2 linked regions of the Alligator mississippiensis genome follow. Each later gene encodes a partner of the first gene's protein in a complex. Links are inferred from orthologs where the notes say so. Each region holds a gene or a part of one and is shown on either strand. Other genes may lie near its edges. The genes, in order: TGFB3 and TGFBR2.

Region 1 (10,586 bases):
TTTCAGTGCTTTAATCGTTCTCATGACTTTTCTCTGAGCCCTCTCCAATTTTCAACATCTTTCTTGAATTGTTGACACTAGAATTAGACACTGTATCTCAGCAGCAGCTACACCAGTATTAGCTACAGAGCTAGCAGATATCCTGTATTAAGAGGTCAACTTTACAGCATCCCTTCACAGCCCAATAGAGCACTGGTCATCTGCCCTCAAATCCTCCAATGGTTACTCACCATATCCTGCAGAATCCAGTGCAGTGGTACTTATAGCCCTCTGGACAAGACTTCCATTTTATCCTTTCAGGGTATCAAGTCTCAAAATAAGCGACCTAGAAAATATTCTGCAGGACACATCTTCCTTCAAGGGCTATTTTCAAACAGCTGACCAGTCAGTACCCCCAGGCCCAGGTATTCCAGCTAGGAAGGATCACCTAATCAACAAGCTGTCTCTAACTTTTAAACCTATTAAATAGGTACTTTGCGTCGGTCTTTCATCAGTCCCATGGGACGCCCATGCCTGCTACAGGACAGGGAAGTCTGGGTGAGGGTAATCCCCTGCCCTCCATTAATGCTGACTTCGTGAAGGAACATCTTGAGAAGCTGGATACCTTCAAGTCAGCTGGCCCTGACAATCTTCACCCCAGGGTACTCAAGGAGCTGGTGAACATCATAGCCCAGCCTCTAGCACGGATTTTTGAAAACTCTTGGCGCTCTGGTGTAGTGCCCGAAGACTGGAAGAAGGCCAATGTGGTGCCTATCTTCAAGAAAGGGAGGAAAGTGGATCTGGCTAACTATAGGCCCATTAGCCTGACTTCTATCCCGGGGAAGATCTTAGTAAAGTTTATTAAAGAGGCCATCCTTAATGGACTGGCCGATACCAACATCTTAAGAGATAGCCAGCACGGGTTTGTTGCGGGTAGGTCTTGCTTGACCAATCTCATTTCCTTCTACGACCAGGCGACCTATCACTTGGACAAGGGAGAAGAGATTGATGTCATATATCTTGACTTCAAAAAAGCCTTCGATCTGGTTTCCCATGATCGCCTCTTGGAGAAACTGGCCAATTGTTACCTTGGGTCCTCCACGATCCACTGGCTGGAAAATTGGCTCCGGGGTCAGACCCAGAGGGTAGTAATTGATGGAAGTCACTCATCATGGTCTCCTGTGACCAGCAGGGTCCCCCAAGGCTCTGTCCTTGGACCCATACTGTTCAACATCTTCATTAATGATGTGGACACTGGAGTCAGAAGTGGACTGGCCAAGTTCGCCGATGACACCAAACTTTGGGGCAAAGCATCCACACCAGAAGACAGGCGGGTGATCCAGGCTGACCTGGACAGGCTCAGCAAGTGGGCAGACGAGAATCTGATGATGTTCGACGCCAATAAATGCAAGGTTCTCCACCTTGGGAAGAAAAACTCGCAGCATCCTTATAGGCTCAGCAGTGCTATGTTGGCTAGCACTATGGAAGAAAGAGACTTGGGGGTCATCATTGACCACAAGATGAACATGAGCCTGCAGTGCGATGCTGCGGCTAGTAAAGTGACCAAAATGCTGGCTTGCATCCATAGATGCTTCTCAAGCAAATCCCGGGACGTCATTCTCCCCCTGTACTCGGCCTTAGTGAGGCCGCAGCTGGAGTACGGCGTCCAGTTTTGGGCTCCACAATTCAAAAAGGATGTGGAGAAGCTTGAGAGAGTCCAGAGAAGAGCCACGCGCATGATCAGAGGTCAGGGAAGCAGACCCTACGATGACAGGCTGAGAGCCCTGGGGCTCTTTAGCCTGGAAAAGCGCAGGCTCAGGGGTGATCTGATGGCCACCTGTAAGTTTATCAGGGGTGACCACCAGTATCTGGGTGAACGTTTGTTCACCAGAGCGCCCCAAGGGATGACGACTAGGTCGAATGGTCATAAACTACTACAAGACCGTTTCAGGCTGGACATAAGGAAGAATTTCTTTACTGTCTGAGCCCCCAAGGTCTGGAACAGCCTGCCACCGGAGGTGGTTCAAGCACCTACATTGAACACCTTCAAGAGCAAACTGGATGCTTATCTTGCTGGGATCCTATGACCCCAGCTGACTTCCTGCCCTTTGGGCAGGGGGCTGGACTCGATGATCTTCCGAGGTCCCTTCCAGCCCTAATGTCTATGAAACTTATAGTGCAACCATGCTTTTCTCACAACCAAAAGCACAGCAAGAACCTGCTCTCTACCATACTCAGCCAGCCAAGCTTTTCCTTTTTTCTTTTCTCTCCACCTGACACCTGAAGGTGTAGCAAAGCAGGGCTTATTGGAGCTACACATCCTCCTTAACCCTACCAAAGCCAGTGTGAGATGCCCCTCTTTATAACATTCAAATGTTGTGCAAACCTTTTTGGCCACAATGTCAGACTGGGCACTCATGTGTTTAGCTAGGAGTGGCTGTGCCAGGTTTAACCTGATCCAGGCAGAAGTGTCTGCTCCTGCTGTAGCTGCTTTGCAATCTGGTCCTGCATGCCCCTCCTGGAAACACAGACAGAGCTGTGTCTTAAATCAGGGTTGGGTAACCTACAGCACATATACCTCAAGAGGCACAGGCAGCCTCTGTGCGTGGCACATGGGAGATTGGGAAGGGAACAGAAAGCAGAGCAACAGTTTGGAAAGGGAACACAAGGGAAGAAGAAAGCAGAGTAATAGATCAGGCGGAGAAGGAGTCAGGAATGGCACTTGTTGGGGACCAGAGCTTACACTGTGGCACACCTGCCAAAAAGGCTGACCTCCACTCTGGGTGTGTCTACACAAAACCCTTACTGAACAGTAGCCTAATAACATTGTGCAGTAGCATGCCAGTCAACAACCATGCTAATACACTACTGCGCAGTGTTATTAGGCTACTGCCGCAGTAAGCATCACAAAAAAAACTGTTTGCTGGCACCACTGCACAGTAGTATGAGTTACTGCACATTTCGTTAGTACTTCATTAAGAAAGTACTAAACTAAATGTGCAAGAACTACTGCGCATTAATGAACATGTAGACATGCCATCCAGGGTTTAGACTCCTATCTCAAACTGAGATTCACAGTCTAGAACCCTCACCTACATTTAAGTGCCTAAGCCAGTGGTTCTCAGCCTTCTTACACCTAATGCCTCCCTCCAAAACTTTTCTGAATTTGGCATCACCCTAGTTGAGAACCTTTGTTCTAAAGTATCAGCTTGCATACTTTATCCACAGACTGCCAGTGCCACTGCCAGGTGGAACTGCCCCATGTGCCTCTGTTTCCAGAAGGCTTGCGTGGAAATGGACCTAGAAGTAGATGCAGCAGGTTTAACCTAACGCAGGCAGAACCAGTTCCTGCATTAAATTAAAAGGGTGTTCTGGCACCCTGGCTGAGAACTACTGACCTAAGCATATGTCCCCAGCTGCTAGAGCACTCATTCAGGAAGGAGCAAACATGGAATCTAAGCTTTTCTCAGGCTTTAAGAAAGTTCAAACCCCAAGCTCCCACCTGCCAAGCGAATGCCCCAAGCATTAGGCTGTCCTCTGCTAGCAGTGCTCTCAACTCCTCCTGAGGCTGAGGCATTGTGTGGCAAAGCATTTTGAATTAATGAGCTCAGAAAGAGGCAGCAAGATTTTGCAGTACAGTCAGGAAGGCATTTTTAAAGGGGGAAGGCAGTGAGGGGAGGGGAGTCCTAGTTTCTGATCCCTCCTCTCTGCTCCCAGGCCAGTTTCTGTGTTTCCCATTAAGCAGCCATTGAATAAAATATACAAACAGGCTTAGAACCAGAACACAGGACTCCCCGCAGGTGAGTGTCCTAATCACTAGACTACATCTATCTGGTCTAGTGACACCTGAATTCTTTGCTCTGGTGTTACTATTTCAACAGGAGGAGCTGACAAGTGCTTCCCCAAGCAACAAACAGCCTATAGTTTGGTGGTTGGGGAACTCTCCTGGAAAGTAAGAGCTGTATGTTTGAATATTTTCAGCCTAGAACCCAGGGCTCCCACTTCCTGGGGGATTGCTGTAGCCACTGACTAGCTGCAAGAGTGGAGACTAAAAGTGGCCAGGACTTCCATAATGTGTATGGACATCAGTGTTGTCAGCTGATGCTAGGCATGCTTAGAGCATCCCTGCTGTGTGTGTGTGAGATTCAAGCCTCTCAGGAGATACAGTTGTGAGCATGTCATAGAATCAGAGAGAAGTTGGGCTAGAAGAGACCTCTAGAGGCCATCAAGCCAAACCCCCTGAATGAGGCGGGAATATCCCTGTCCAAACCACTCTATACAATCCATAAGATAAACTCTATGTAAGATTACCATTTACCCTGACATAACACAGACCTAACACCCTAACCTGTCACAGGTAAAGCCAATATCCTGCTTCCATGAAACATTGTCAATATATACTTAAAGAGTTCCTGGGGAGAGGGCCATACACCCCACCACAGAGAAAGGCAAAAGCCCCCACAGTCCATACCAACCTGATCCATATAAATCTGACCATGGGATAAAATTCCTTCCTGACCTCAAATATGAGAATCACTCTGACCCTGAGCAAAGGGGAAGACCCTCTATTCCAGTGATTATCAACATTTTTTGTACCAGGACCCATTTGTAAAATCCAATGGCCAGCCCTGACCCAATGCCCTTCACTCCCGACCTGCTGCCCCCAACCCCCCAGTGTGTGGGGCACGGGGTAGGTGTGTGAGGCTGGGGGGCATGTGTGAGGCCCCCAAGCAGCCCCTTGCAGGCTGGAACTCTGCCAGCCTGCAAGGGAAAAGCCATGATTTTCCATGTTTTTCTCCTTCAAAGGAGAATCCATTTTTTAAGTGTGTTGATCCATTTTTAAAGCTTGTTTGCAACCCTTTCATATATCCGTGTGACCCACGGGTTGAGAAATGCTGCTCTAGTCAGAAACCTCTGGCCTTAGCCCCAGCAGGAGCATTGGCACGCCCCAGTCAAATTCCCCAGCCTTGGCTGTAGCCAACATCCAGTGCCTCTGAGGGAAGCTTAAAAAAACACTGACACATAGCAGAAAGGGGGGGGGAGGAGGGGGGGCAATCAGCAATGCCCAGAAGCATGGGAAATACCCACAGTAGAACATAGGTGTAGCTACACCTAGATCATCCCTGACCAGCAACTGTCCAACTTCTTCTTGAACACCTCCAGTGATGAAGAGTCCACAGCTGCCCTGGGCTGTCTATTCCACTGCACCACTGTTCTTACAGTGATGAAGTTTTTCCTGATTTCCAATCTAAACCTACTTTACTGCAACTTCAAGCCATTGCTCCACATCCTATGCTCAGCGGCAAGAGAGAAGAGGTATTTTCCCTCTTCTTTATGGCAGTTCAGGTATTTGAAGACTGCCATCATGTCCCATCTTAAGCATCTTTTTCACATGCTGAACATGCCTACTTCCTTCAGTCTCTCATTATATGACTTGCTTTCCAAGCCCTTTATCATCTTTGTTGTCCTTTCTAGACCCTCTCTAACTTCTCCACATGCTTTTTAAAATGTGGAGCTCAGAACTGCACACACTACTCCAGATGAGGCTGACCGGAAAGGCACTATCATCTCCTGTGTCTGACAATCCCAAATAGGTTGAGGCAGGAGACAGGCATCCGGGCCCTGTTCTGCTAGGATGACAGAGGTTTGGGGCCTGTGCAGAGCACAAGACCTACCACTTACTGGGTCAGACGATAGGTCCATCTTGTTCAGTCTCTGGTGTCACACAGGGGCAGAGCGCAGATGCTGTAAGGGACAGTATGACCAGGGTTTCTCTCTTATTTGCAGCCTTCAGTGTTTCAGGGCTAGCAAGCTGATTCAGAGGCTGTACCCCTCACTCCCATGCTCAGTAGCTACTGATGCTCCATTTCCTCCAAGAATTTGTCCAATCCCTCTTGCTGGGTTTGTGGTTGTAGCCATGTTGGTCTAAGGACATAGGGAGGCGAGGTTCTTTGGGTAGATGTGACAGCTTTTATTAGACCAACTGAGTAGTTGGGGAAAAGTTCTTAGCAAGCTTTCGGGTGCAGCCACCCTTTGTCAGGCATAGGAAGTCTGCTAAATTGGCAGCATCCACAGTATCTGGTGTCCACGAGCTCCCCGCCTGAATGACATGCCAGGTGGAAATCATTTTAAACTTCCTACCTGCTGGCTTCATGTTGTGACCTCCTGGCGCTTGTCTGGGGAGAGGGAGTACGTAAGAAATCCCTGCTGACTTTCTTTTGGCCATTTAGGGCTTCCCTGGTGAGTTAGCTGCCTCGAAAACCACCTTCGTGGAGGGCCAACACCCACGTGCCTGTGAGCGTGGGGCAAGCCTCCATCGGTCCCCGGGGTGCGGGCGGCCGAGGGGAGCCCAGCGGGGGACACGCATCCTCCTGACCTGAGGCACTGAGGAGCTGGGCGTGCGGGGAGGGGGGTCTTGGCACCGCGGGTTGCTCGGGCTTCAGAGACCCGGGCGGCCCCCACCTGCGTCTCCGCGGCCCCGGCACGTCCCTGCCTCGCGGGGCCGGGGGAGGAAGCCGGCGCAAGGGGCCTGGCCCCGGGAGCTCCCCCGCCTCCGCGCTCGCAGCCGGGCCCACCACCAGGAGGCGCCGTCGGCCTTCCCGCAGCCCCCGCAGGCTCCTGAGCCCCCCGAGCCGGTGCCGGGCGGCAGCGATGCCCGGGGAGGCGGTGTCTCCCCGGGGCTGCCCCGCCGACTGTGCAACCGGGGCCGGGCCGGGAGCGGGAGCCCAGCCCGACGCGTCACGGGGAGGGCGCTATAAAGCGGCGGGCGCGGGCGCGGGGCGGTAGTGCGCCGGGGCCAGGGCCAGGGCTCGGCCCGTGGGGATGGGCAGCGCCGCCGCCTAGCCCTCCCCGCCCCCGCCCCGGCAGAGGGAGGCACAGCCCGGGAAGCATGCGCCGTGCCGGGCCGCGCCGCCCGCTCCCCGCCGCCCGGCGCACACCCGTGCGGCGGCAGCCCGGCGCGGCGAGGCGCGGAGCCGCCCGGCAGCCGTGAGCCGCCCGCGAGCCCAGCCGCGCCGCCTGGGCCGCCGCCGGGGCCGCCGCCCGGGCCGGGAAGATGCGCTTGCAGCGGGCGCTGCTGCTGCTGAGCCTGGCCGGCGTCAGCCTGGCACTCTCGTCCTGCCCCAGCCTGGACCTGGAGCACGTCCGCAAGAAGCGGGTGGAGGCAATCCGCGGCCAGATCCTGAGCAAGCTGCGCCTCACCAGCCCGCCCGCCGCGGCGGGGCCGGCCCACGTGCCCTTCCACGTCCTGGCGCTCTTCAACAGCACCCGCGACCTGCTGGACGAGCTGCGGGCCGCGCCGGGTGCCGCGGAGGGCGGCGGCGGTGCTGGTGCCTGCGCGCGCGACGCCTCCGAGTTCGACTACTACGCCAAGGAGGTGCACAAGTTCGACATGGTCCAGGGCCTGCCCGAGCACAGTGAGTTCCCGGGGGCAGGCGGGCTGCTCTCCCTCCCGGCCTGGCCCGGCCCGGCCCCTCTGGCGGGAACCCCGTGCCCCGGCGCGTCCCCACGGCGCGCGGGACGCTGCCGGCCGCAGCTGTGCCCGCTGTGTGCCCCCGGCGCCTGGGAGACGTGTGTGTGTGTGTAAGAGAGGCACAGCAAAGGGAGGAGGCTGTCTCCATGGCTTGCCAGTGACAGGAGACTGGAGAAGACCATCCAGGATTTAGTGTCTGAATGAGCCTGAGGTTGTTCGCGTGCCCCCTGTGTGCACAGGGTGGTGGCGGTGCCTGTTTGTTGAGCCAGGGAAGCTGTGAGCAGAAAGAGGTGGCCAGGTTTCCTGGTCTGGAGTTGGAGACAGAGTCAGTTGGGCCCCCTGTGCTCACCAAAGCTGTGAGCCATGCATTTTGTGCATCTCTGTGCATGCAAGTCTAGGGCTGACAGCAACGGGAACAAAGCACAGCGTGAGGGGAAGAAGTGTAGTGGACGCTAAGAAACTCCACAGCCTGGAGCCGCAGAGTTGGAAGGAGAATGACAGGAGCAGCTTCGTTCCCTGTGCTGCCGCCAGGTGTCCTCGTGGGCTCTGTAATTACAGTAGAGGGGGGTGTGTGTGTGTGTGTGTCTGTGAAATGAGTCATTGGAGAACAGACTAGAAAGCCATTGGGGGGTCCAGGAGGAGTGTGTAGGCAAGTCTGGAGAGAAGCAGTGGAAGCATTGGGGCAGGAGACCGCAGAAAAGTTGAAGATGAATTGTTAAAACAATGATTTAAAAAAAAAAAAGTGAAATACTTGATGGTTAGCAGCCCTGCAGCAGGTGGAGGATCCTGAGACCTGGCAATGGGGCAGGCAAGGGATGGGTTTTCAGTGTCTTAGACTAACATCAGCCCAGACTCCAGCCAGGAAGCAGTAAGTCAAGCCAGTGTCTAGAGCCCTGATATCCTGGAGAAGATGAGAGGGGAAGAGAAATACACAGGAGACTGAAGGAGAGAGAAGAGGAGGAAAGAAAAGAAAGAAGGTAGTAGAGGAGATGGTTTGAGTCTCATAGACTGAACGTATTGTAACCACCAGGAAAAAAATCTCAGTGTGGACAACAGAATCACTAGCACAGAACCAGATTGATCCCTGGTGAAACTCCTTTGACCTGGGCAGGGACAGATATGGCCCTTTGGTTTGGGCAGAGCATGCACCTAGCATAGGGAAGAGAAAGATGTACAAGCTGAAGAAAGGCGACTGCTGAGAGATGCAGCCATGGAGATGTCAATGAGGATGCTGCGTGGATGCAGAAGAGATGGAAAATGATCATAGAATAAGAAAGATGCTGAACAGGTGAAGAGCAGACACTGATATGGATTGGATCACCCCCCCCCCCCCCTCCCTCCAGCCAAGGGCAGACAGAAAGGAGGTGCTGGAAGACTCATGTTGTACAGGTGCAGAGCAGATGCTGAACAGACCTACTAAGCAGAGTCAGGTGCAGATACAGAGACTGGAACTGAACAGATCCAAACCCGGAGCAGACTGCAGATTCAGAGCAGATGTAGCTGCAGAGCATTTCTCTTGGCGACTACTTGGGGCTCCCCAGTGCTGGAAGACATCGGAGGGCATGCAGTCATATCATGTAGTGTACAGCCTGGGAGATGCTGATTTATCGCCAGAAGTTCCTGGGTACTGTTTACCAAAGGATCTGGGATGCAGTGCAGGCAGTCTCAGAATACTGTTGAGACTGCCAGGTTTATGTTAATCTTGACACATGATGAGTTGGAATATAGGTTAAAATGTGATAATGCAACAAATTTCACTTAATCTCTAGCAGACTGCACTCCATATGGTTAGATGATTAGCTCTCTTCTCAGGAGGCAGCAGGACTCAGAGCAGGGGAGGCTGCATGGCTGGACCAAAGGGCATTAGCAAACTATTATTGCAGTATTTATACACTGCTAAAGCACCATTAATGGTGCTCTGCATGCCTATGGGAAGATTAGATCTCTACCCCAAAGAGTTTACAGTCTGGTAAACACACTGAAAACAAAGTTTGGATGTGATATAGGATTGGCTTGCACAACTGGGTAGCTGAAGATCATGCAAGAAGAGTAGATTTGAGTCTGGGAAGGCAGAAGGAGAACTGTTGGGGCACAATGGAAGAGGGACCTCCTCTAAGTGGAGGAACAATGTGACAAAATGGGGAGAGGAGGCAGACCAGTAATGAGGTACACCGGTACAGCTGGGAGTGAGAAGAGGGCTCTGGATTAGCAAAGGATGCTGCAGGCAAGTACTGGGATGCTATGAGGGGAAGCTTCCACAATTTTGGGCTCTTTATTTGCTGAATGCTTGCTAGTCTTCTATTGTCATTAGCACTACTGTTGCATAACTTTCCCCATCAATAGTCAGGATGCCCATGTGGTGCCAGAGTGCCATATTCAAGAGATCAAGGTGCCTGTGAATGCCTAGGGGTGGGCAGTGCATCTCCCACTATCCAGAGGAAGAGACATCTTGGGAAGTGGGTCACCATAGGAGAGAGGATCAAAGTTGCTTGTGGTGGAAGCAGGCAGAGCCTACAGCAATCTGTGGAGTTTCACCTACCTACATCAGGGCTGAATTTGATCCTCTGTCTTCAAAAGTGGCTGGGATTCAACTTTCCCATGACTCTGTCATTCTGCCAGAAGGTGATCTCAGACTGTATTTTGAGCCAAAAGCCAGTCTCCTCTTGGAGGGAGGAGAGCTTAATCCATCAAGGGATCCTGGGCTAATACAAACAAGTCTGAAACGTGTGTGTGTGTGTGTGTGTGTGTGTGTGTGTGTGTGTCCGCGCACACCCCACCCCACCCTCCCTCCCACCTGTTCTAATGCTTCATCAGCCAGACAAACTCACTGGCTTGGATAATGAGCTAAAAAATGAGGACAGCTGAGGAGCTAAGGGGGCAGCAGGGAGAGGCTGGTTGTTCTAGGAAAAGGGATGAAGATGTTCAGGAGCAGACTCCTCCCTTGTGCATGGTGAAGGAATGCTCTTTCTGCTGTGCTTCCTGTGGCCATTGCCCAAGGTAAACACCTGAGAGGGAAGGTCTCCCTTTCTAAAGAGAGCGGGGCATTCTGCCTCAGGCAGTCACCAAGGCCCTCCCAGTGCAGTGTCCCTGGGGTGAACAGCAGAAACTGCTTTCATCCTTTCCCCATCCTTGCATG
Region 2 (9,557 bases), on another chromosome or scaffold:
AAAGGTGAAGCTACCACTGAAATCTACTAATTAGTATTTTTCTTGCCAATGTTGGTGATATACACCCATTTTACAGTTTAGAATAGTTGCTAAATTTTGTCATAATGGGAATAAACTGAAGAAGGACCTGCCTGAGTAGAGCATCTGTACTCAGACTGCACTTAAACGTGTGCTTAATGTTAAGGACTGCCTAAATCCCACCAAAAATCAACAAGACTTAAGAACATATTTAAGAGCTTCTTGGTGTGTGACATTATTCAATCATGTGCTTAATTCTTTTCCTGAAATCAGGCTCATACTGAGGAAGAAACTCACTATTATATTATGTTTGGAACACATCTTTCCAGGCCTAAAACCCTACATGTAAACTACAATTTCATGCTTTCAGATAGTTGGTGATAAGGGTGCATGCAACTGATATCAGTTTACCCTACTTTATATTTATTGGATATTACACAAGTCTTAGATACATGTTGAAAATTTATCTTACAGCACTAAAACCAGATCATGCATTTACTAGAGAATGCTTCACTTGGTCTCAGAAACAGTCCCATTACACTCTGACATAGTAACCATGCTCAGTCTCATTTCTACACTAACTAAAGCAGTGCTCATTTGTAATAAACAGATTACTCAGAGGCAAGGAGGTAGCAAGAATGAGGTTTAATTTCTTAACTCTTATCACAGCCACCCACTAACAGAGTTGAACATCAAGATTAAGAACTCACAGTCAAAAAGACTGAGGCTGAATCTATTCAATCTTCTCAAGTTAGTCTAAGCTGTATAGATTGAGCCGATAAACAAGTGAACAGACATTCACTTTTGATTCTGGAAATACAGCCCCATGCCTGCAGTGGCTCAGGTCAGAAGCCGGGGGTGCTAGAGTAAGACTCCCTGCTTCACTGGAGCAGACAGCTTGGGCCAAGGCTAGCCCTACAAGGTGGGGTTGGGGTTGGCAGAAGAGGTGCAAAGCATTCTGGGAAGCCAGGGGACTGCAAGTCTACTTGAATCTGGACAGGATCTGGGACAGGAGTTCAATAAACTGATTTAACCTAAATCAATTAAGTCTGATACTACATCCATCCAGATTTATCTTAAACCATTTTGGCCATTTCTAATGTGGCTTATGTGCACTGAACTTCTGATTTGTTACAGATCTGAACCAGTTTCTTATACTGGTTTATATGTAATTTCTGTCCCTAGCTCAAGACTGCCTGAATATTCTGTAGATTAAGCCCATTCTTTCTACTTATTTGGGGCTATTTCCATCTTCTCCGATTAGCTTTATTCAAGAAAATACCCACCCATTTTCATTTTTCTACTGACCAAAAGCAACTTTACATCCTATTCTCATTATTAGGTAGAAAAAGAAAATACATACTTGATGAGCTCTGAGGCCAATAAATAAATAAATAAATAAAAATTAAGCAAACTAGATGGAAGAAAATGGCACTGACTCTTTGAAGGTAGGGCTATAAGAGATTTCCCATTTTACAACAGAGGGACTGATTCTGCACTGGTTTGTACTACAAAGACCTATGTAGTCCTTTACCTCCATACAAAACTAACCACATACTACCTGGTTTGCACTGTTTGGAAGCTGCAAAGCATCTGAAACTTCTGCAATATGCCAAGCTGAGAATTCAGGGAATACCAGATGCCAGAATTGCCCTTTAGGGTCATAAGCAGGTGTGAATAAGTAACAATAGTTCAGAGTTGAATTCTCAATTATGCTGGAGGCCAAAAGTGGCTCCAGCCAAGCCCAGGATTGTAGTGTCAAAAAGGTGGCTGAAAGCTTTGGATTCTACCACCTCAGCAGAACTGAAGGATACTTTCAAAGCATACTGCATGTGTAAAGCACTTTCAGACTATAATTTTTCCTTTGCATGAGTATTCACATTTAATACCCACTTTGCCCATATGCAAATTGCTACACAAGGTGGCAGCACTAAAGAATAAGGTCCACAGCTTCGGTTCTGCTCATTTACAGCAGTGCAAACTGGAGTAACTCTACTGAAGCTAGTGGTGTTGCAGTGGGGACACAGAAGTGTAACTGCAGAAAGAACACGGCAGAGCTGTGATACAGACACTACAAGGAAAAAGTCCCTACACCACAAACGCAAAAATACCAATTTAAAAATATCCTGCAGAGGAAATCTGGTCATGAGAAACTTCATCAATTGGTGCCACAACAACACCGTGTTCTCCTTTCCTCCCCTCCTCCCCCAGAAGAGGAACTATTATTGGATGAAGATTTATGAATATACATTTTTAAATCATATTAAAAAGCTCCATCCTCAATCTTGTAAACAAATATAATATAGGACTACTCATACAAAACCTTTTCACATTTAACAACTAGGAATTATCGTTTCCTACTGTTATATTATAAACAAGTTTGAAGCTATAACAATTCATCCTGGAAAAAAAAAGTGCTTGGTTTTAAAAGAACACACTCTGGTTAAATATAGGTTATAAGGTATAATCTTTTACAAAAGTTAAGAGCTAAACTAAAATCAAATGTATCCATTAACCTTTCAAAAATTCAAATTGAAACACATTGGGCCAGATCCTGAGCTTGTGTGTATATTTGTATAGCTCCACTGATATCAAGTGACCAATACCAATCCGCAATAACTAAAGATCTGCCTCATCATTGTCTAAAGGAAGAAAAACTACAGTTTACAAAATTGGGTTAATGCAAAAGAACTTGAAATAGGAACTTACTGGAAAATGACTTTCAACAAGTGCAACGGATTACTTTATTTTCATTGCCCAAGAACAAATATTATCACAGTCATCACAATCATCACTTATTAGGTACCAAAAACACATCATCGTAAAAAAAGTTCAGGCAGAAGGCTGAATATATCAGGTGCAAAATTCTTATGCTACGATAAGCCTTCATCCATACGCTGCCTTCTTTAAGATACAAACTTTATATCATTGTCACATCTGTCCCAAAAACTGTCCAGGTGTGCAGTTCTATTAGCTTTGACAAGATTACTCACTGTGCAAAAAGCAACTCAAGTATGTACAGCATCAGCAGTTTTGGATGATTGCTAAAAGACGATAAGGAACAACGGCTTGGTGGAGTGCTTATTTACTGATCAGATACAGGCCAATTAAAGGAACGTGAGGAGAGAGACAGATTCCAGAACCGTTCAGCAGTTTACACAGTGATCATGTTACTTGAGGACCTAAGGATAGGTATTTAGTACCTTAATACGTGCCTTCGGTTCTAGGTATCCACTTGATTTATAAAAGCTGTTTGCAAGTTAAAAATCCACCAGCCTCTGGCCCCTCAGCACTTCCTTAGTTTCTGGACCTTGCAGTACTAACAGGCAACCCTGCTTTCACAAGCAGGTTTTGGGGCCTACTCCCCTGTGCGCCTACAGGAGCAGCTTTTGACATGCGAGCAGTCATGCTGAGCTTGCCTGCAGAGGTGTAGGTGTAGGATGAGAAACCCCAGACTACCAACTTCTCAAGGCAGGGGCCTTGTTTTCCCCTCCACTGGCCAAGCCCCTTGGCAGACCTTTGGCAGGAGACAAATCCATCTGTGACTAGCACTAGGAGCTGGAGGGGCTTAAAAACATCCAGGGGAGTGTTATCGAGTTGGCAAAGGGGGGTGGGGTATGGCTGTCCAATCCCGCACCGCAGCCGTTTTGGGAGCGAAAGCAGATCCCAAGTCCTCCCGAGGGCATCTGCCACCACTTGACAGGTAGCGCCTGGGAGACGCAGCTGTCCGCTTCACCCCATGTGCACCAGGGCCCACACGCCGCCCCAAGGAGCAACCACCTCAGGGATGCAGGCACAACACAGGGAGCTGAGTTGCCTTCCCTGGGCACTGCTGAGATGCCCCGTCTCCAGCAGTGCCAGGAACAGCCAAGCCGCCGGACAGCTGGGCCGAGGGGGCATTCATCCCCTCCACTCCCCTGCCCTGGCTGGGAAGGGGTGCCCAGCAGCGCCCTGCCCTCCACGGCGCACGGCTCCTCCCGGGGGCCGGGGCGGGCACCGCGCCTCCCCGCCAGCGCTGTCAGCCGGACGCGGCGGACACTCACCGCAGCCCAGACAGACGTGCAGCAGCAGCAGCAGCCCCCGAGCCGGACTCATGGCGGGGCCGGGCCGGGCCGGGCCGGGCCGGGCCGAGCGGGAGGCCGCGGCGGAGGCTCGCAGGCTGCCGGGGAGTGAGTCACTCGGGCGCTGCAGGGGAAACAGGAAATCTTAAAAACTTCGCCAACAGCTGGGCAGGACTTTCTCCCTCGCACAGTAGTTCCTGCCCCCCCAGCCTCTCCCCGCTCCGCCCCGAGCCGGCCCCTCGCGGCCGCGGCAGAGGGGGGCGCCGCGCCAAGCCGGGCCGGGCCGCGGCGCGCTCCGTCAGGTGTGGGCGCGGGACCGGCCGGGCCGGCTCGGAGATGGAGGCAGCGGGCGGCTTGGATGGACCGGGCTTTCCCGCCCCCTCCGCCAGTCTCGCGGGGCTCCCGCAGCGCTCCCCGCCTGCCCGCCGCCCAGCCGCGGGGTCAGCGAGGCAGGGCTGGAAGGGACCCGCGTCCGCCCAGCCCCAGAGCGCGGGGCCGTAGAGGCAGGGCTGGAGGGGACCTACGCACCCCGACCCGGAGACCACAGCATCATCGCAAATGGGGGCTGGCAGGGACTAGTCCACCCCCCTGCTCAGAGCAGGACCATCCCCAACTAGTTCATCACCTGGAAGAGAGGGGCAGGGCTAAAAGGGACCTACCTAACTACCCCCATCTGGAGATGACAGGTCGTAGAAAACGAGAGGGGGAAAGGACCTCAGGATTGGAAGGGACTAGTCCATCCCCCTGCTCAAAGCAGGACCATCCCCAACTAGATCATCAACTAGAATAGAGGCAGGGCTGAAAAAGGCCTATGTACCCCCCATCCAGAGACCACAGGATCATAGAGGCCGGGCTGGAAAGAACCTACATACTCCCATCCCGAGACCACAGGATCATCAAAAATGAGGGTTGGAAGGGACTAGTCCATCCCCCTGCTCACAGCAGGACCATCCTCAACTAGATCATCAACTAGAATAGAGAGGAGGGGCTGAGAAGGACCTACATACCCGCATCCTGAGACCACAGGAACGTAGAGCCAGGGATGGAAAGAACCTACATACCCCCATCCCGAGAACACAGGATTACAGAATAGAGGCAGGGATGGAAAGAGATCTACATACTCCCATCCAGAGATCATAGGACCATAGAATAAAGGGAGGACTGGAAGGGACCTCCACAGCTCATCTAGTTCAACCCCTCGCCTGAGGCAGGCTCATCCCTATGCCAACCGCCTCGAGAACCTTGTTAGAATTCCTGCCATCACATGTGTGGTCATATGGGGCTCTTTTGGGCCCAACAGCATACAAACAGTCCCTGCCCCAAAGGCCTGATGAGTGAGGGGTCCTCTGGCAACATGTAACATGGTGTCCAGGGGCTGGACACAAAGAACCAAGAGGCATATGGGCAGATCTAAGGGGGGAGGGGGGGCATGCAGCTGGTGAGGTGCATCAGCACAAATAAAAACCACACATGTTTTTCTCTGGTTAAAAATAAACCGGATGCTTTACTAATACTCTCAGGGCCTAGGGCTGGATTACTCATTTTAAGGTCAAAGCAAAAGCAAAAACAATTTGCTGGACTGTGAAAGAGGAGTTTAATGACCAGGAGCAGTGAAGAGACTGGAGAATGGCAGACATAAGGTGAGCTTGAACATCAAGACCATTAAAAAGAAGAGAGAGTTGTTCATTTCAGGAGGATTAAGAGTTTAGAAGGGATAAAGGGATGAAGTAGATTATGAGTCATGAAGTCAATGGACTCATTCTGCAGTGCCTAACTAGAAGTGCTGTTGCCACTGCCAGGCAGTTGGTTTTAAACGTTGCAGGGGGACCCAGAATCTAAGGGTTGTGCAAGTGCATCATGGCACCACCCCTGGGTCCACCACTGAAAAGGTCTCTTCCAGGCCTGTATTTCCATGTTAACACCTGAGCTGTTTCTCTGTATAGGCCCAGTGAATCCCCTGGTACCTCTGTAGCAAAACCCGCAGTTTTTCTTTTTTTTATTTATTTTAAAATGCATTCCCTCCCCTTCCCCAACCATTTCTGACTTTTTCTCTCCCTCTCTATTCCCTATAGAGAAGTATAAGTAAGCTAAGATGTAGGATAAGCTTTAACATTTTATTTTAGGTAGTAAGTTTTATTTTTCTCTCCCCTCTGCAAATAAGTTCCCTACTATTTTGATATCGATACCCACTGTTTTATAAGTGATAATTATTATGTTTGTACTGCTTTTATATTGTGTGATTACTGTTTTAGGCCTATATATGTAAGTTAGCATAAGTCATGTCAAGTTTCCATTTTGTATGTCAAGCCTCCGTCTTGCGTCCTCTGCCTGAGCATCCCCTGTGTTGCAACTGTATGATTCATGTACCCCTCCCATGTCAATTGGTTCCAGGATGAATGAGAGCGATTGGGAATGAGTGAAATACAATGGTAGCAGGCCTGTACTGTCTGTAACGACTAGGCCATCACCTCGCATTGATTCATCCAGGAACCATGGACCTCACCCAGGAACAGAGACAAGAACCCAACATTTGAAAGACAAAAAATCCTACAGAACTAGTAACTCTACCATTGTACCCCACCATTACAGACACACGAAACTGCACATCCCTGCATGGAGCACACATGCTCAGTAAACCAGGGGCTGACCCTTACCGGGGCATGCCTCCTGTCACTAGGGTCACACAGAATCTGCTCCTATAAAAAGGGGGAGTGAAGACAGACCCCGTGGGACGCCCTCTCCATCTGGACCAGCACCATGCCACACCACCTATCCACCCAGAGGCCCTGCCGACGACCCCCCCTCTGGACAACACCTGCTGGACAAAGACCCCTTTCCAGCCTGGATAGGTAGCTATCACCCCCTCTTCAACCAAGGACTTGGACTCCACTTCTCTTCCCCACCTGGACTCCAACCCTTCCACTGAGTCTCTTTCTCCTGCTGCCATTGTGAGTGCGTGTGTGTGTGTGTGCACACGCGCGCGTGTGCATGTGCATGTGTGAACCAATAACTTCATGGGACTGTGTAGTGTGTTGTCTTGTTAATAAAACTGTTATTTGGACCCCTAAGTTGGGTTTTGCTTTACTAGGGTTTGGCCCTGCTCCAATCTCTGCTCCTCGCCCCTCTAACTTCTGTCTCATTTCTCCCTCTCCTGCTTCTGGCTCACTGCCACCTCCAACACTTGTCCTGAGCTCCTCTCTGCCTCCAAACCCCCTGTTTCTTTGCCACTGTCTTATTCCCTCTGCCTTTTCCTTTTCCCCTGAGCATCCAGGTTTCTGCCTCAGTTTCTTTCCTGACTGTCGCCTCCTTGCCACCACTTATCTGCCTCCCCTGCCCAATATCTCAGCTGTCTGCCTCAGTTTTCAGCCCCAGTCTACCTTAAGTAATCCTAAGCCTTGGTTCCTCAGCCAGCTTCTCTGTAGTCCACTGGTTCTACTCCTGGTTCTGGCAACTTTCACTCCCTGCGCTTTAACTCTCTCTCTCTCACCTGAACCTTCCCCCAAGTATCCCAGGTACCCCAAGCACACACATATACACTGTACCATCCAAATTAGGAATTTACCTGTGTGGATGTGTATGTGTGTGAACTGGTGAGTGTGTGTGTGTGTATATATACATATATATATGTCATTGTGTGCATGATATACAAATTAGTGATCTGTGTCTAACTTTTGGGGTGTATAGTGTATGTACTTGAATTGGTGATAGGTATGCATGTGCCTAGGCTGGTTTGGATGTGTATGTCCCTGAGCTGGTATTGTGTGTGTGTGTATGCACCCAATTGATTTGTGTGTTTGTATATGTGCAATTGTGTCACACCCTCCTATCTAACAGTGCAATATTGAGATCCTGAGAGTTGGACTGACCCCACAGGGCAACACCTCCACATGTGACAGCAGAGTAGCTCTACCTGTGCATGAGCACACTGTAAGATCGGTGTTGAAAAGACAAGACAGAACAGGCAGGTGAGAGGAACCAGAGAGAACAGAGGCTGAAGTAAGGGTAATAACAGGAAATGTTAGTGCAGACTAGCTGTGTACCTAAGGTGTCAATGTAACAAGCCAATCTCTACTGGCAGCTGCAATCCCAGCAGCTTGTCATCCTTTTCTCATAGTTTTCATTTCTCACGCTTGCAAAGATGGTTGCAAAATACCTGAATATTTGGCCAATGTTAGAATCATAGGAAAACGGGGCTGAATGGGACCTCCAGAAATCCACTAGCCAAATAGCCTGTTCAAAATAGGATCATTTTTGTCTAAACTAGCCAAGACAAAAAAATCTCTCTCACTGGCACTTAAAAATTTCCAGTGATGGAGACTTTATTGCGTTCCAAAACTGAAAAGAATTTGTGGTTTTTAAAGGAAAATTTTCAGAAAGAAACAGGCAAACCATTTTCCTGAAAACTAGGGTAAATTGTTAATAAGTCAATCAACTTTTTTTTCAAGCTAAGCTAGTTATGTAAAGATACTTGGCAGAATTTCATATCTTTTTTAAAATGCGAAATCTACATGCACAGGCACAAAAATAACCTGAAATAAAGGATCATATTAATGAAAATGTTTCGTGATTCCTCCCCACCCCGTGATGCCACCTTACCTAAGCACAGCCAACAAACAACCGAACAGGAACTCCCTGCAACAAGTATTGCAATGGGCGGGTAAGTTTAAGATGTATTTTACCAGATTAGGTGAAGGCAAGCAAACACCCATGTAACACTGGGCCACGTAGCAATCTCAGCCATCAACTACATATCCAACAGGTCCTGACTTTGCGATGGCTAATGCTCATTATGGGTCACTGAGGTAGATGAAATTCATCTGCTTCTTTCTCTAGCCTAGAGGGACTGTGGGCTCTCCATCACTGGAAATGTTTAAGCACAGGTTAGACAATTTTGTTATTTAGGATGGTATATAGGATGATTTAGAAATGATCTGGTTTTGAACAGGGTATTAGGCTAGTGGACTTTCTGAAGTCCCATTCAGCCCCATTTTCCCTGTGATTCTAACATAGACCAAATATTAATGTATTTTGTGAAGATCTTTGCAAGAGTGAGGAATCAAAACTAGGGGGAAAGGATATTTTGAGGTTGGAAGCAATGCAATGCAGCTGTTCTGTATAGTCTATTGAGCAGTTAGTGACCATAAACTCTACTGAGAGATTGAACTAACTAAGGATTGTAGCAATAGCCACTCTTGTCTCTAGAAATGCAGCCTCCAGATATAAAGTAATTATTTTACTGTGTATTTTAGTATGTGGGCTTTTAAATTTCACTACATAACTATATAACTGAGAGCAGAGTAACTAGAAGCACAGGAATAATTTGAGAGTCTCTGTTGTAATTTTGATGATTCAGCTGTGTCTTGATTACAGAACTGGAAGTGGCATCAGACCAGGGTATTTGAGACAGGGATTGAGCCCGTGCATGTGCATAATGCTGAATGTCCCATATCAGCATTTATGAATTGTTCAGTTATTTAC

Evidence for each region.
Region 2: the proteins of TGFB3 (region 1) and TGFBR2 are in contact, whole or in part, in a crystal structure (PDB 9B9F), measured with the Homo sapiens proteins. The link is inferred for Alligator mississippiensis from reciprocal best matches to the Homo sapiens genes TGFB3 and TGFBR2. Residues at the interface, in NP_001316868.1 of Homo sapiens: Arg325, Lys331, Trp332, His334, Tyr390, Tyr391, Val392, Gly393, Arg394; in NP_003233.4 of Homo sapiens: Leu50, Phe53, Asp55, Ser72, Ile73, Thr74, Ser75, Ile76, Glu78, Val100, Asp141, Glu142.

The regions. Positions count from the first base shown.
Region 1 is NC_081825.1:261,765,275-261,775,860, reverse strand, and holds the start of TGFB3 (transforming growth factor beta-3 proprotein), read left to right. Parts: upstream 1-6,753; 5' UTR 6,754-7,033; coding exon 7,034-7,394; intron 7,395-10,586. UniProt on the Homo sapiens protein: Transforming growth factor beta-3 proprotein: Precursor of the Latency-associated peptide (LAP) and Transforming growth factor beta-3 (TGF-beta-3) chains, which constitute the regulatory and active subunit of TGF-beta-3, respectively.
Region 2 is NC_081828.1:143,383,487-143,393,043, forward strand, and holds the start of TGFBR2 (TGF-beta receptor type-2), read right to left. Parts: upstream 4,218-9,557; 5' UTR 4,114-4,217; coding exon 4,062-4,113; intron 3,418-4,061; exon of another isoform or gene 3,222-3,417; intron 1-3,221. UniProt on the Homo sapiens protein: Transmembrane serine/threonine kinase forming with the TGF-beta type I serine/threonine kinase receptor, TGFBR1, the non-promiscuous receptor for the TGF-beta cytokines TGFB1, TGFB2 and TGFB3.